Linked DNA regions of Neodiprion lecontei. The protein of the gene in region 1 purifies or fractionates together with the protein of each later gene. This does not show direct contact. Links are inferred from orthologs where the notes say so. Each region holds a gene or a part of one and is shown on either strand. Other genes may lie near its edges.

Region 1 (8,051 bases):
GTATTTCACTTACCACCAAACTTTACCTAACGCCACTCAATTGGCCCTTTTATGAATTTGAGAACAAAGTTGGAACGATATGAAATACATTTTTCTTTCTATGATTGATACTAAACTTGTCAAATGTCTTCAATGCTGCAGACTAACAATTTTTCATTGGTTGTAGACAATTGATATTACCTAGAAGCAATCTATTAACTTTAATAATTATTTCCTCCCAACTGCCACTAACATCTCTAAAAATCATAAATTGAAGTTGGACGTTACAGAGAAGTCTGAATTTTTGTTTGCCTGCTATGCACGCTATCATTATCGCTATTAATATTTTCCTTCGAATCTACTCGCACCCCAATACACGTATAAAGATACTATCAAGAAAACGATAGAATGTTCAAAACGACCTTTGCTGAAAATAATCGATATCATTTCAGAGATTAAGAGCGCTGTGGTTTTCGATTAAATAAATCATTTTAAAATTATGAGAAACTTTCGAATTTTCACATCTTTAAAGCGATAAAAAATTGAATAAAATTCTCTCGCTGCTAAAATCGATACACCCCGAGTTCTATCACTAACAAATATTCGCTCTTATCCTTCTTATATGCCTGACGAATGTAAACGCTATCAAAACACCAATTATTATCTCTTTTCAGGTCTGCCACAGGTTTCAGTCGTGTGCATACAGATCTAATCAATGGCGCTACAGAGGGAGATGCGATTCGATTCAGTTTAGCGTCGATAAGCGAATTTTTGTTGTTGGTTTTGGTTTATACGGAAGTTCATCAGGAGCGGCTGACTATAACGTTAAAATAGAATTGAAAAGATTGGGCCGTGTATTATCGGAAAATAATACGAAATTCTTTTCCGACGGTTCGAGCAATACTTTTCACGTGTACTTCGAAAATCCTATTCAAATAGAACCTGAGTGTTTTTATACCGCAAGCGCAATATTGGACGGTGGTGAACTGAGCTACTTTGGTCAAGAAGGGATGTCGGAAGCAACCATTGGCAGTGTTAATTTTCAATTCCAATGCAGCTCAGAAAGTACAAATGGGACTGGAGTTCAGGGAGGTCAAATTCCTGAACTTATATTTTATGGACCCCCTACAGATGATTGACGTAACTTTATCCCAGAGACAATGGTGTAATTACCCGTTGCAATAACTATCAATAATGTTTCTCACTAATGGTTTTACCGCTCCCATTTCCTATTGACACTGCGCTGAGGGGAGCTGTTGAATATCGGACATTGATATTACATCCCATATTTATTATGTATAAAAGTTATTCTCACTTTACTTATTGCAGTGAAAATAACAATTATGAGTAAAATTATAATTACACATGGAGATAGACCACCGCTAAGATAATATTATCCCAGATTTAGTTTTCGTCACTTTTATAAAGTGTAAAATAGTGTAGCTTGTTAGGAAATATCATTCTCACGATTTCATTGTTAAATTTAAAATATTAAATACTGGAGAAAAAAAATGTTATTTTATCGAATTCTTTATTCACGGCAACGGTATCAAATAATATTATCAACTTGTAATTTCAAATGTGAAATAGAAGAGAACAGAGAAAATTTCAATTTTTCTTCACCTTTTAAGCAACGCACAAGTCATGACAAAAACTATGCTCCTGATTTAGTGTTTTATTACTTTATTCTGAATAAGTTTGTATATGTATATATATACTATATTTATATACACACACACACACACACACACACACACACACACACACACACACACACACATATATATATATATATATATATATATATATATATATATATATATATATATACTATATGTACACACACACACACACACACACACACACACACACACACACACACACACACACACACACATATATATATATATATATATATATATATATCGATGATTCAGTGGTGACAATTTTAATACAATTTTTATTAAATTCGGCACCTAAGCCAAAGTTGGAAAATAGTCAGCACTTACTTGTATAACTATATACTTGGAGTACAACCACTAACATTCATTGTGATAGTCAGATTAAGATTGCACCATGCTATGATATCTTGTCTCGAATAAGATGTAAAAACTATTCACTTTGAACACGTTGTATCGAAGGTTGTAAAATTTCTTACGCAACAAGTGCGAAATCTTCATAGAATTTGACATGTATGAGATATTATAAACTACTAGCCTATTAATAGAAGAGAGGAGAAAAAAGAAAAAATTAAACCCCGTAGATCTCTGTATGAGAAGAATATATAGTTACGTTTTATACGTATCAGCACCTAGGCTGCAGGCACTTTCTTATACTATTCAAATATTGTTGGAATAATGAGTTATATTGTTAGATCTGCTTCTGCCATTTCACGTGTATAGAAATTTATCATTTCTAATATGTAAATTGTTATTTCATACTATAAACACATAAAATATTAAACTCGATGTATCGTTATTCCTACATTTTTCCCCATTTCCATCCAACACATGATAATCACCGAATATAAAAATAAACTATAATGAGATAAGATCAAACTTACCCATTGAAGGAATGTTGATGCATAACGCCTGAGTGAATCTCAAATATGTCCGTCCCAATTCGTAAACGCAAATTTGTAGTACATCGCTAATATCAATTAACATATCTAAATCTGTTATTAAGGAAAAAGATTTTTTCATATCGCAGAGAAGTTTCTAGAAATAATTTTTAATCTTAATAAAATTCATGAGTATCAAATATTTAGATATTCTCAACATTTCGAATGAGTTTACGCAGCTATTCTGCACGAATCATACTTATGATAGGTTTGTTCTGAAAAGGATACGTGCTGTTCCCTCGGTGCGACATGTAATGTAAACGCAAGCTGCATGATTGTGTTCCTGTTTCCGACCCCTGGTTAAATGACGACTCAATGCCATTTTATAAAAATTTACAGCAGTATCGACGCAGTGTTGATTTAACCTAGGTATTGGATAAAGTCGTCACAGATTCATTCAAAGTATATGAATGTATCGATTAGATACTTATTTGCACAAAAATATTCTCACCTTAGCTGAGTACAGAGATTTGTTATGCCTTTCCTCGCATTTTGTATAGTGACTTCCCGAGATTCTTTACCGCTCACATGGTAGGCTACAATTGGCGATAGAATTGCGTTAAACTGTGAGTGTGTATAACGAGATGACAGAATTACTTAAAATTTGTCACTAATTTCACAAGATCACAGGTACGTATCTTCTTAGTTATACACTCGTAATATTGATTAACAGCTCAGTGATATGCATAGCTGAATCTCGGACGAGTGTATTCGCCTGATTCAAGTAACCACGAAAGTAGGCAGAATATTTAGGCATACCTGCACCAAAACTTGTTGCACCGCCGGCACTGTCGCTGGCTACAAACTGGGCAAGCATAATATTCCCAGTCGCAGTTTCCTCGAAAGCTGTTTCGCTGACTATCAGCTGATCCTCGAGGACAGAACCACATTGTGTACAAACTGCGTCTCCGCGTGCTGGATCGGTTTCTATATCCGTAGATCCGCAATTGCGGCACTTGCTGCCCGACATCTGAAACAAAACGACACTGTGATTATTAACAGTTCTCTGGTTAAAATATTATCGACACTTTTACCAAATTTGATATTTGATGTTTATTTAACCAGTAAAGTAAAGTTACACCTGTAAGTAAAATTACAAAGTTAATCATACAGGGATAAATAGGATTATAGGGATTATAAGGCACATAATAATATCTATATTATTATAAATATCAGGTCTCTTTCTCCGATGTCTGTCGGCTCATCATAATTGGTCTTTTTTACGATAATTTTTGGTATTCTTTTCAGCTGAGGTTTCTTATTTCAATAATTAAATACAATAAATGGGAATTTTTCTCGTAAAGAAATCAATTCCAAATGTACGATGAAGTGAAAAATTCAACGAAGCATTGACGTAGCTGTCAAACAAATCAGAATTACAGCTGCGGGGTCAGTTTGGCGCATTGATGAAAATGCAAAATATCAAGACAAATGGAAGTAAATGTGACAGAATTGTAAGGATCGCAATGTCAAATTCATGCTAATTACAGGCATGTATAATTAAGCTTAAACATTCATTGGCAGCTAACCTACAATACAAATAACTGCCTTTGGGTACATTATTATTGTGCAACAGCTAACCTTGAATTAGTGTCGTGCGTTTGACCGTTTATAGGTACGAATGACGCTCGCTGACGCTGTGGATAATCGTTATATTATGAAACCAAAGTGGTGCAGCGAAAGAATCACCGCACGAAGAATTCCGCTGTTGTTATCCGACGAAGCAGTATCACTTCTTGTACATATATCCACTCTACGGTGCTGCGATACTCACACTGACTCACAATCGCAACTCCTACGATAAAATCGACCGTTCAAATCGGCCTTGCCAACCGCCGAAGCGAAATCCGACCGGAAATCCATGGAGTGGACGAAGCGTTGGACGGAGGTCGAAATTTCTTTAGATTTCTTTGGTTGGCATACATACATGCATGATTTTTCGAACTTTATAAGCGCCAAATTCAAACGTAATTAACATGAACGTAATTATCCTCTGTTGGGAAAGATAAAAATTTTATATTTTATCCTTTAGTGTTTATGTTATTATTTTTGCAACTTTTGAATGCACATACTGGCACTATCAGTAAGCAGAATATATGGAAATAAATAACTTCAAGTAATCTATTTACGTGAAATCAGTTGTCGCATTCATGGGCGTCATGTTACATTTCTGTGACATCATCTTAGATAGCTCTACCTCTAGTAGTATATGCTCTAAGCGCGGGAACGATTTGTATTAATTTTCATTTGAAATGTGTATGAAAACTAACAAAACTGGTCAATCTAATAACAAAATTCGGAAAAATTGAAACTATGAGCGAAAATTTGGAAAAATAGCACAGATGAACCCGAAGTGACTCAAATTGAAACTCCAAATCACCGAAGCATATCTCGAGTTTTATTCAGTTATATATCGACTCACCCGCCTTGTTTTCTTAAGTTAAATACCGATATTACAACAAATTCCAAACAATTAGAAAAAATTGGAATAGGAAATTAAAAATGTAGGAATTTGGAATCAGGAAGAAAAATTCTTTAAAAGTGATAAAGTTTCTTTAGATTTCGATATAAATTACCACAATTCTTGAAAAGAATTCTTTTTCTTTTTGCTTTGGCGGACATCAAAATACATTAGATCTGAAGAAATTTGATTGGGGTCGGTAACTTTGGTGCAAAGGACAAACGACAAGACCTGCAGTGGACAAAAAAAGGTTCGCCATGGTCGGATAAGTTCATAAATAATACGGAGACTGGCATAATGGGTGTGGGGATGCCATTTTTTTTTCCAAATAATGAAGCAAGTATTTTCATTCGAACAACGTTAAAAGACGAGAATGTTTCTTATCAATCCATTAACAGTACAATTTTATTAAAAACGATGTAATAAGTCAACTAAATTCGTGGATACTTGAGGAAGAAAGAATTGACATTGAAATAATGTGTCGCATAATTTTTTATAGCTTGGATATTTATACCCCAAAAAGTGACGTTATTTCATCCATTTTGTGGATTGCTTATTTTTAGAATATATAAAATATACATTAGGCTTTGCGAAGCTGATAATATCGTTCACCATCATCATTAGTATATTATACTATGGTATATTAGTCAAACCAAAGTATTTGCATTGATTTATTTTTTGAGCACTTGTATCACATCTTCGTCATGCATCACATGTTGCAATCCTACCCTTTGGGGTGAGTATTTTGTGCTCGTGCCCTGCAAAGAGAATGTTCATCGAAGTTTAGAGGTGGTAAATATCTCGTCATTTTTAAACATACTTTACATCCGGTAATCTTACCCAAACAAGAGCATATTTGAATTGTTCAGCGAGAGTCCGGTGAATGCTGTGACAGACATGTTCGACCGTGACTCCCTTCCGTAAAATCAATCCATCATCAAAGTCTGGTGGTTGACCAGGTTTTTTAGTGTAAACCCTGATGAGTGACAAATATTCCCACAGAACCTCCAGCAAATAGTCCAAATTCAATTTCATGTTGCAACTGTCGTAAGAGTATTTTAGCTTAGAAGTTTTGTTGGTGGAATTGCGCGTGAACGCTTTCCAAAAACTGATAGTATCCTATGCTTGACTCACCTAACTACGACGCTGTTGCTTTGCCTCGCGATTCTATCAACTTCTTCTATAGATATTTGATCAATCTTATTGTATACGTACAGGCAGGGTAGGTACACTCTGTTTGCATTGATAACATCGATGAGCTCATCGGCAGTGCAGTCTTCGCGAAACAATACCTCAGCGTTGAATATTTTATACTCATGTAAGATCATTTGGACCAACTTCTCGTCAACTTTAGTCAGTGGGCAAGTAGAGTTGAACGAGAGCCCCCCACCCTTCTTTATTTTAAAATATATATTGGGTTTCTGTTTGTTCAGTCTAATACCAACAGACTCCAATTCTTTCTCTAATAATTGTCGTTGTACATCTTGTTTCGTCGCATCTAACATCATCAATACCAAATCTGCCGTTCTTGCGACGGCTATGACTTGCCTCCCTCTTCCTTTTCCCTGGGAAAATTACCAAGAATTAGAAAACTCGATGTACGCGAAAACATCGCCGGTGTTTATTTTTCTAGGCAATACCTGAGCGGCACCTTCGATGATACCGGGCAAATCTAAAAGTTGTATGTTTGCTCCCTTGTATTCGATTACACCTGGTATGCACGTAAGCGTTGTGAATTCGTAGGACGCAGCTTCGGATTCGGTGTGAGTAAGGGTGCTGAGTAAAGTGGATTTACCCACAGAGGGAAAACCGATCAGGGCGACCCGCGCATCTCCTGATTTCAGTACATCGAACCCTTCCCCCTTTTCGGATTTCTTTGACGGCTCTAATAACTGGGAGCGATACTTGGCTAACTTTGCCTTCAATAGGCCGAGATGATACTCCGTCGCTGTAAAAACAAATATCGACCTTTAAACGACGGTTGAGAAAATTAGAAAAAATGCAAAATCCCCAGACTCCGAGCCGGTCACGGCGTTGCGGCTGGCAGACACATAACCTCAAATCCGAAACAAACCCTTATTTTTTTGCGTCCGAGCGATCTCTTTCTCGATTTCTGATATTTTTTCGAGTATACCCATGATTGGCTACCCTCAGCTTTGAGCTGCTTGTCTTCGCATCGACGAATTTACAACTAACGGCGACACAATCTGCGCTCACTCAAAATCACACTGACCCACGTGAATAATTTACAATTCGGTAAATCAAGCATAGACTACCCGAAATCGGAAAAGAACTTGGTAGATCCAGAGTTGCCAACCTATCGGACGAATATTTCTTTAAAAGGCGCCAAAATAATTCTTCAGATTTCTTATTTTAAATGGCACTACAATAATTCTTCAGATGTCTTAATAACGTCACAATAATCCGTCATGTTTCTCATTTTCAAGACGGACAATTTTCCTATAAATATATAATAATAATTAACGAGCGAGGCAACTCAAAAATTTATATGCTACAATCTGAATTGTAAGTATAAAGATATTCGGGACTTTCATGTAAATAATATGTTTTTATTTTTAATATTTAGGACCGTTAACATGTCAAATAAGTGCGTTTGAAAATTGTAGACGCTATCTGATTTGTGCATATTTTCTTGGGAACCTCACAATTTGTCGATGTTTAGTCATATTTAGATATTTCGCTTCTTTCAGTCTCGAGATTACGCCAGAAATCTTCGGATTTTCCTCAGAATCTGGCCTAAGCGACAATAGTTTATAATAAGAAAACAACTTTTCTTTTTTCTCTGAACCGTTTGAACGGACTCTAATTTCTTTAGATTTAAATAAATTTCTTTAGTTTTGGCAACACTGGGTGGACCGAAGAGATTGGCATTGACTAGCGAAGTGACATAGATTGAGTCAAAAGTGGAGAATGTCGGGTTCCGCTTTTACCGGTCGATTATCGATCCAACGCATGCGCCAGCAAATCAAA
Region 2 (7,935 bases), on another chromosome or scaffold:
GTCATATTTAGTAATAGCCATTGCAATATCGTTCCTCTGCAGAGTGCGTCTTTTATTATCTTCTGTGTGAACCCAGGCTCTAAGCGTTAGTTCATGTATGAATATCTCAGCAGCCTTTGAAAACAACATTGGTGCCTCAGCGCTTATCATTTTTACATCGCCATCCAATTTCATTATTTTTTTTATTCTAGCCAACGGTAGGGATTGAGTCTTCAGGTCCATCTGGAAGGGAAATTATAATAGATTTATTTTTTGAATGTAATGTTGTGTCAATTTCTCTATAAATAAATAGAAAAATCCTTACAGTAGTTATTTTTTTAATCTCATCTGTTACTTTAGGCCAAAACTGACCCAACGCCTGCTGTGCTTCCGAGTTGCCTGGTGAGGCAATCTGTAAATCCCCATTTGAATCTCCTTCCACCTCTTCACCCTCCGGGTTCCTGAAACATTCCACATTTATTACATTAAATTTCAAATTTATGTTGTATCTTCAATTTTTCCACCTACAAAGATTTTGATAGTATTCTGGACCATATGGTCTGAAAGATATAATTCTGGGCCAGTTGGGCGGCCGTAAGAGTGAAAACAAATGTTTGTTTTGAAATCTCACTGTGCAGAGAGAACCCTTGCGAAAATTTTAGAATTTTCTATTAGTTTATTCGAATACATAATGAAGGTAACATATGGTTGTTTTTATTGGTAAATCCTTGGCTTTACAGGGTTTAAATACGCAGTGTATTACACGGCTTTATAGCAATTATTTCCATGAAAAAAAAATAGTTATGACATAACCTAACTTAATGAACTACAATGCTAAATGTGTTACTTACGTGTTCACGAAGAAAACAGACATTGTTTGACTGTTCGGCTTTCTCACTTACGAGATTTATTGAATCATTTAGTGCAACGATAAGCTCATCGAGCAACTTTTAAAATTAATAATAAATAAAATTGCATTAGTCCTCACTCGAGAAACCTGTCCTTACCACAGACAATGCGGATTGTATAGAAATGCGTCATACCATGCGTCGGACTCACACAAAATGATACGTCTGCATGAGTTCCCACTTCGTCACCTAGGTGGCACACAAAAACAATTCCTCTGTTTTCGAAATTGAAAATATGGAAACAATATCTGGTACGAACGAAAGTATTTAAGATAATTGAATTATTAGTAGCTTATATTTATAAGTGTATTGTTGAGATTTTATTGCAATGTATATACACGGTAATTGTTTGTTGATTGTATTGATAATTGGTTAAGTAATTAAGTATGTACTTTTTTGAAATTAGCTAATTTTTGGAAAATATTGTTCAACACTTCTTTAGCCGTACACGATTCTGCATTAGGTATTCGTATTATTCCTCCAAATTCTCTTATATAGTAGTCCAACTCCATTTCATTTGATTGATTTTTATTAGCCAAGTATTTATTGGAAAGTTGAGATAATTTTAGCAAATCAGAACTGAAGGCTTCGTCTAAGTCATACAATTCTAAAGCTGGTGGTGGAAGTTCTTGAAAACTCGGTGGGAAGACCTGTGGATCAAGCATTTTCAATCGATATTCAGAAAACATCAGCAGGATGTATTCTGATATTTGCATCAGTTGAAATAAATTAGTTAGGATTCTCTGACTTCTTTAGATCAGTTATCAACGTAATGTTTCAGCCAATGTCTCACCGATGCCTGTGTTGGTGGTAAAGGGGTCTCGAACTGGGGGGTAATTAACGTCAACGGCTGCTTTTTCACCCCTAAAACTTCATATGCCTTGATACATGCAGGAATCATATTCAAATGTATGGAGTAAAAGTGTTGTTTGAACAACTTGGTGTATTCTCGTGGTATTTCAATGTTGTCTAATTCTTGGGTGCAAACTTTTGGGATGTCCGCTTGCTGAGTTGTATCCGGAACAAAATTGTACTCCCAATACTGTAAAAATCATTTTCATTATGTGTAAGTTTTGATGATGAATAAATTCAGATCGCGAGTAAACAGGAGAGTCTCACATCAATATCATCGGGTTGCGTGTGTTTCACAGTTACTTCGTCAGAACTAAAGAATTCAAACAACATTTCCCTAAATTGGTCATTTCTTTCTTTCTCTATGTAACTGTCCGTCAGCATTCTCGACGAGCCCAAGACAACCAATTTACCGCCGTTCGATTTTGACGAGTAGTAAGCACAAATTGGTCTATTTGTTGGTATAGCAACTGCCCCACTCGATAGAGTCACACTGGATGGTTGTACTACATTCAAAGTTGCCCCGTATGGATACAAGTACTTCAAACCTCTGAATATTCGATTAATTATAATCATTGCAATTAAAGTCAGTATAGCTGTATGATACGGAAAATGGTTCAATTTTAAAACCAAGAGTTATTGTAGTATGACGTCTTTATTACTCACGTGTACTCGTCGCGATTTTTCACGAAAACTGATTTATTTGACAATCCTTCTGATATGACACATTCCTTCGGATGAAATGTTTGACTGTAATTCATTCTGACCACACTATCTGAAAATTTTTTGAACATTTCAAATTGTATTCGTTCTTGGGTTCTTCTTTAATGGCCCTCCTTTTATCTAGGAGGACAATTTTCGTATGATATCTTAGCGATTACAATTAATGTCACTATACTTTCTTGCGTATGTACATAATATATTAGAATATTTTCTGACTGTGTCTAAATAACGATTTATAATTTATACTCTGAAACGGAGCATAATACGGACTGTTAGCTGATACTGTTACGGCTAAAAAAAAATATTTTTTTTATCATCTAAAAGTATTGTATAAAATTTCTCTACATTTGCAAATCTTCATATGAAGAAAGGGTAAATGGAATTAATTATACATTCATTATAGAAGCAAATAAACAATAAGTTAGTGAAATTACTTCACATGAGACGACAATTATGATTATTTCAAATATGATTGCCTATAAATGTAGTTTTAACTGCTAGATATGTGATTTACAAAACTGTATCAATTCAAATTTGCGCCTCACCATTATTCACCATAATTCCAAATTCCTCCAACAAAAAGTTGATATTCGTATTGAATTTATTTTCTCCACCTTCGCCAAGCATGACCAATACGTTTCCTCCAGAATTTATGAACGTTCTGATAGCGTTCATTTCGAGTTCGGTGAATTTGCTGCGAGGGCCTGGCAATACTAAGACCTTGCCAGTAGTTAGCGATTCTTGCGATAGGACGTCGTTGTTTCTACAAACAATTTTAACACCGTTGAATGCTTTTTTTCCTAGAGCCGATCTGATTTGTTTCCGATTTACTGTATTCAGACAAGATTGAAAATGTGTAGGTACATATAATCAACTATATTGCAGTGTAATGAAATTGTTCTCAACTCACTCTATAAACTTCCATTTCGGTTTCAACTTTCTCTGAAGAACTTTAAATTCCTCGTTCAACCTCCGCTCATTTTTTGAAGCGTCAAATATTATAACGTTAACATTTGAATCGGCAGTGGAATGGGCAGTAGTCATATTATTCGTTCGTGATACTTTTCGCTGCTGAATAAATATGAAATATGTACGAAAGTGTCGGTGTTCCGAACTTCACCTCGGGACAATAATTGTCATTAATCGTTTGGTCAGTCTGAAATACTTGAGCAAACGTTACGGTACTATCGTTGCTACGGGCAACCCTTATGACAACTTATCAAATAATCAAATAACGACGCGCCTTCATGATTCTTCACGTAGGGTCCGATTGACCATAGGGTGTCGCGTCTATGATCGATTTCGTCTACGGCAGAAGTGTTCGTACATTATATGAGCTTAAAAAGATCCGTTGCGGACCACGCGTAAAGAATCACGAAGTATCCATGGCAACGCCTTAGATGGCATGAGCGATGCAAGGTTAGGTTCGTTCGATCGGGTGACAACGTGTGGTGTTGTAGTGTAAACTGTCCGTCGCGGACTGCGGATGTTGAGTTCTTAATTTGAGATAAAATGAGTTCTGCAACTCAAACTGACAATGAGTTGAAAAAACTGTTAAACAATCCAGCTAAAAATGTCACGGATGACGCCTCTATGGCGCCTCCGCTTTCGGTAAGTGTCCAAATATGTTTCCTACAGGTTACCTTTTGACACTTGTTTGTTTATTATCGGTCAATTTTTCTGGTGTAGACGAACGTTCCACGGCCGAGTACGTCTCAAAATGTTAATCCACAGTCAGCAATGAATCCCATGCTACCTGCCTTTAGTAAAAAGGAGGTACTTCAACCGCGTTTGCAGTGAGTATATCGTACCACCTGGTTAGTTCATACATTTTTTCGTATTCGATAATACGATCTTTCAATTTGCAAATTAGAATTCTGTAATGCACCGAAAATTTGTACTATACTTATTTAGCATTGATTGAAATAGTTAGTTAAACTAGCAGCAGATACAAAACGAACCGAGTTTCATTCACCTGACGTGACTAGGTGTTCATGCAACTATCTTCTTCGGTTTGTTATACACAAACTATGTATACGTGTGTATACTTGTTTTTTATACATAATATTAATGGTACTTTTAAACTTTTATCCAAGTTTTTCACTCCCATAATGAGATTGAATAATCAACATTGCATTCGTTGTTCTTTGTTCACAGAAATATAGTATCAACAGTTAATTTAGGAATGGAATTAAAACTCATGTATATAAATACTAGAACGAGAAATTCGGAATACAACCCTGCACGTTTCACCGGGCTGATCATGCGAATACGAGAACCAAAAACAACAGCTCTTATATTTAGATCTGGTAAATTGGTTTGCACTGGAGCACGGTGTGAAGAAGATTCATATCTAGCAGCCAGAAAGTTTGCCAGAATAATACAGAAATTAGGATTTGCTGTAAGTATTTTGTTTTAAGTAGGCGCGAAAATTTTTCTATGAACCGATCACAGTGCAACTGCTTATTACATCAAATGTTCAATCATACAGAATCTAATGGGCTTGCAGAATTGGAATACTTTTCCTCTTCAGAATGATCTTTTCGTTTGAAGCAGGTTACGTTAAATTTGTAATAATGAGGTTTTATTCACTGAACACTGGAATGTAAGATTTGTCTATTTTTTGTACTGAACAGTGTGCCATCAATATTTTAGGTAAAGTTCATGAACTTCAAAGTTCATAATATTGTTGCAACGTGCGACTTGAAGTTTCCCATCAAGTTGGAAAACTTAAATCACATGCACGGACAGTTTTCTAGTTACGAACCAGAGCTATTCCCTGGTTTGGTTTATCGCATGGTCTTGCCAAGAGTTGTACTCTTGATATTTGTCAATGGGAAGATTGTACTAACTGGTGGGTATGCTTGAATTTCAACATTGCATCATTACTATAGTAGACAAAGCATTTTACTTGCAAGCCCGTTCTTATATAGTTTTTAATTTTTCCTAAAAACGGTTAATTTACGTATTAGCTTTACGCAAGAAGCATTACAAGGCATCGATCAGCGAATCATAAACATATTCACAAATAAACTGTTGATAAAAAGTCCTTTACTATACTTTCAGGTGCCAAGAGTCGTGCGGAATTACAAGATGCTTTAACAAATATACATCCAATTTTAAAGAGTTTTAGAAAACAGTAATATGCCCATAGCCAGAGGCTATTGTGGCCAAGTTGTTAATCATAGAATAAATTTTTGTACATTACAATCAATGGAATAAATCTGTGATTATTTATTATAAAATCGCGTGGATTATTGTACTTTTTCTTCAGTAGAACAGGTTGTACGAGAGAAATTAAAGTCGAATACACGGAAGATGACGCAGGTGTGTCAACTGTTTTAAAATATATATTTTCTCAACTTGGGAAATAAAAATACATTAGCTGTAATACTCGATATCAAAATAAAATGCGATTGAGAAACGTAATAAAATATATTCTATTGATAAATCAGTACTCTTCTTCTTTATAATAATCTATTTCCATAAAAGTATATAATTTATGTCAGGAAATTTATTTAGAGTAACATAATCCAGCGAGATGAAATGTTGGATTCTGAATATTGTGTGCTTCTTTCGCGTTAGAATTAAATATTTCCGTTCCAACAGCAAAATGATTCTTTCGCGATAAAATTGTGTCCGAATGTTTGCACGCGTTTACCGGATTTATCTTAATTCTTTCGATAGTGTTACACCATCTACCATTCAATGCACATGTATGTGTAATAATAAATCGTTCAAAATATTTTATCTAGTGATAATAATTTTTCCTCAGGACGTTTTACCGCTTAGGGCGTTGGATCGAGGATAACGTTTTTATTAATTAATTAATAACCAACGTTAATGCCCTTCTTAGCCGCAATAGGCAGCTTCTCCCCTTGGAAGAAAGGATTTTCATGCTGCAACAAAAATTATGCACAGTCAGGAAAAGTGAGATATGGAGAAAAAGACCGTTCTTCTACTGTTCAAACTGTGATAAAAAATGAAAGAAATCGGTAATTCCATATTTTCATAGCAATACAGAATAGAAATAAGTACTTGGAACTGTTCGACAATTTGGTCGAAATCTGAATTCGAGATGTGCATGTTTGAAAGGCCGTCGTTATTCTCTGATCCACTGGTGCAATCCACCATGTGTTCCTTGTCGCACATACAGTCTTGAGCACTCTGGTAATCACGACTGAATGCAGCGGTATTTTCAAAATTTGTTATGCAATGATCGACACCTGTGTGTGAAACATTACTTCCTTAAACGGGCTGTAACATCTATTTGATTAATAATATAATTCTTGAAAATTGACCGTCAAGTAAAAAATTTAACTACCATATCGGAAAACACTAAGTAGGAATCTAAATATTATAGAACCATCTAAACATCGATTTTGACTTACTTGTATAGCCAATGGGACAGGGGTTTGGTGGAGTGCAATAGGCGGGCAAATTGGTCTCAGTTTTTTCGTCCTTAATACCCTTCAAACCGGCAGCTTGAATCCTGTGCCTGTCATTACCGTTGTTATTGTTCAGACGTTGGTGACTCCATAATGAGCTATGTTGCAGATATTCCTGATCACGGATGCTGGGGTTCGGGTTTGGGGTGTCAATACCCTCATAATCGAGTGAAATGTCCGCCGGAATTTCTTTCACTTTTTCATACTCGTTTTGCAACCGCGAATCGTAAGGGAAATCCATGTAGTTCTCGGGAACGTCGACAAATTCGTTACCCATACGGTCCACCAATTCTCGAAGAAGGATGTCGGTGAATAAATGTTCTTGCTGTTTTAAAACGGAAATTTTTTATAGAATTAGATCCGCAATGCGGTGCACAGAAAACTTTAAAAGCGTGTTGAAATCACCAAGGAGTTTCGCCACTTATGTTTCATAAGTAAGTACGTAACGCGAAATAATCTTAAAGTGAATAAATTTTCATCTACCTTGAGAGGTGGCATGTATTGCATCGATGCACTGCTCAGGACGACTGCCGAAAGCAGTAAAATGACGTGATGCATATTCGAAGTCATGCCTAGCTGGAAGTAAAATCAATTGTAATGATTGATTCCAATGAATATCATTTTATTCAATTTAAATGTTACTAATTTGGTACTGCAGGTAGTAATTGAGTGAATAAAAGAGTCAAATATCATAAATGATAACGAAGTTGAAGTTATAGTAACGTGACTTTAACGATCCTTAGGATTGTCGAAAATTCAGTTAGTAAATCGTGACACAGAAAACATGTTCATAATTCGACAAGCCAACTCCTTGAAAGTCGTTCTAACATTGTATAATAAAAAATTTTTCCATCATATTTCCTTATGCGTTAATAACTTTAGTGTTCTGAATAATGAGCTTTTCCATTGTGCGTTAGTTCGATTAATGACATTTTTTAATAAACGATTCTTCCAGATTAAACTGCTCCTTATTTCTCGGTTGAACATGTGTTCAACGTGTGTTCATTGCTTAGAGCCAACCGATA

What was found.
Region 2: the proteins of transcription factor IIIB 90 kDa subunit (region 1) and TATA-box-binding protein purify together in Drosophila melanogaster (affinity purification with mass spectrometry; 3 studies listed by BioGRID, with this or other methods). This does not show direct contact. The link is inferred for Neodiprion lecontei from reciprocal best matches to the Drosophila melanogaster genes Brf and Trf.

Annotation. Positions count from the first base shown.
Region 1 is NC_060263.1:2,928,571-2,936,621, forward strand, and holds the start of transcription factor IIIB 90 kDa subunit, read right to left. Parts: upstream 4,399-8,051; 5' UTR 4,181-4,398; intron 3,570-4,180; coding exon 3,359-3,569; intron 3,136-3,358; coding exon 3,051-3,135; intron 2,965-3,050; coding exon 2,828-2,964; intron 2,648-2,827; coding exon 2,543-2,647; intron 1,759-2,542; exon of another isoform or gene 1,119-1,758; coding exon of another isoform or gene 654-1,118; intron 1-653. Other genes in the region: BTB/POZ domain-containing protein 6, read left to right, coding at 654-1,118; developmentally-regulated GTP-binding protein 2, read right to left, coding at 5,732-5,818, 5,901-6,102, 6,195-6,625, 6,701-7,008, 7,135-7,198.
Region 2 is NC_060262.1:28,877,567-28,885,501, forward strand, and holds TATA-box-binding protein, read left to right. Parts: upstream 1-3,724; 5' UTR 3,725-3,974; coding exon 3,975-4,073; intron 4,074-4,105; exon of another isoform or gene 4,106-4,151; coding exon 4,152-4,258; intron 4,259-4,619; coding exon 4,620-4,863; intron 4,864-5,117; coding exon 5,118-5,316; intron 5,317-5,528; coding exon 5,529-5,605; 3' UTR 5,606-6,195; downstream 6,196-7,935. Other genes in the region: nuclear transcription factor Y subunit gamma, read right to left, coding at 1-222, 305-440, 831-853; intraflagellar transport protein 52 homolog, read right to left, coding at 1,268-1,537, 1,681-1,929, 2,007-2,289, 2,406-2,514, 3,008-3,225, 3,373-3,506; uncharacterized protein LOC107220697, read right to left, coding at 6,290-6,361, 6,501-6,688, 6,854-7,235, 7,394-7,486. UniProt on the Drosophila melanogaster protein: Acts as a transcription factor. Binds to the TATA box promoter element which lies close to the position of transcription initiation. May be essential for embryonic development.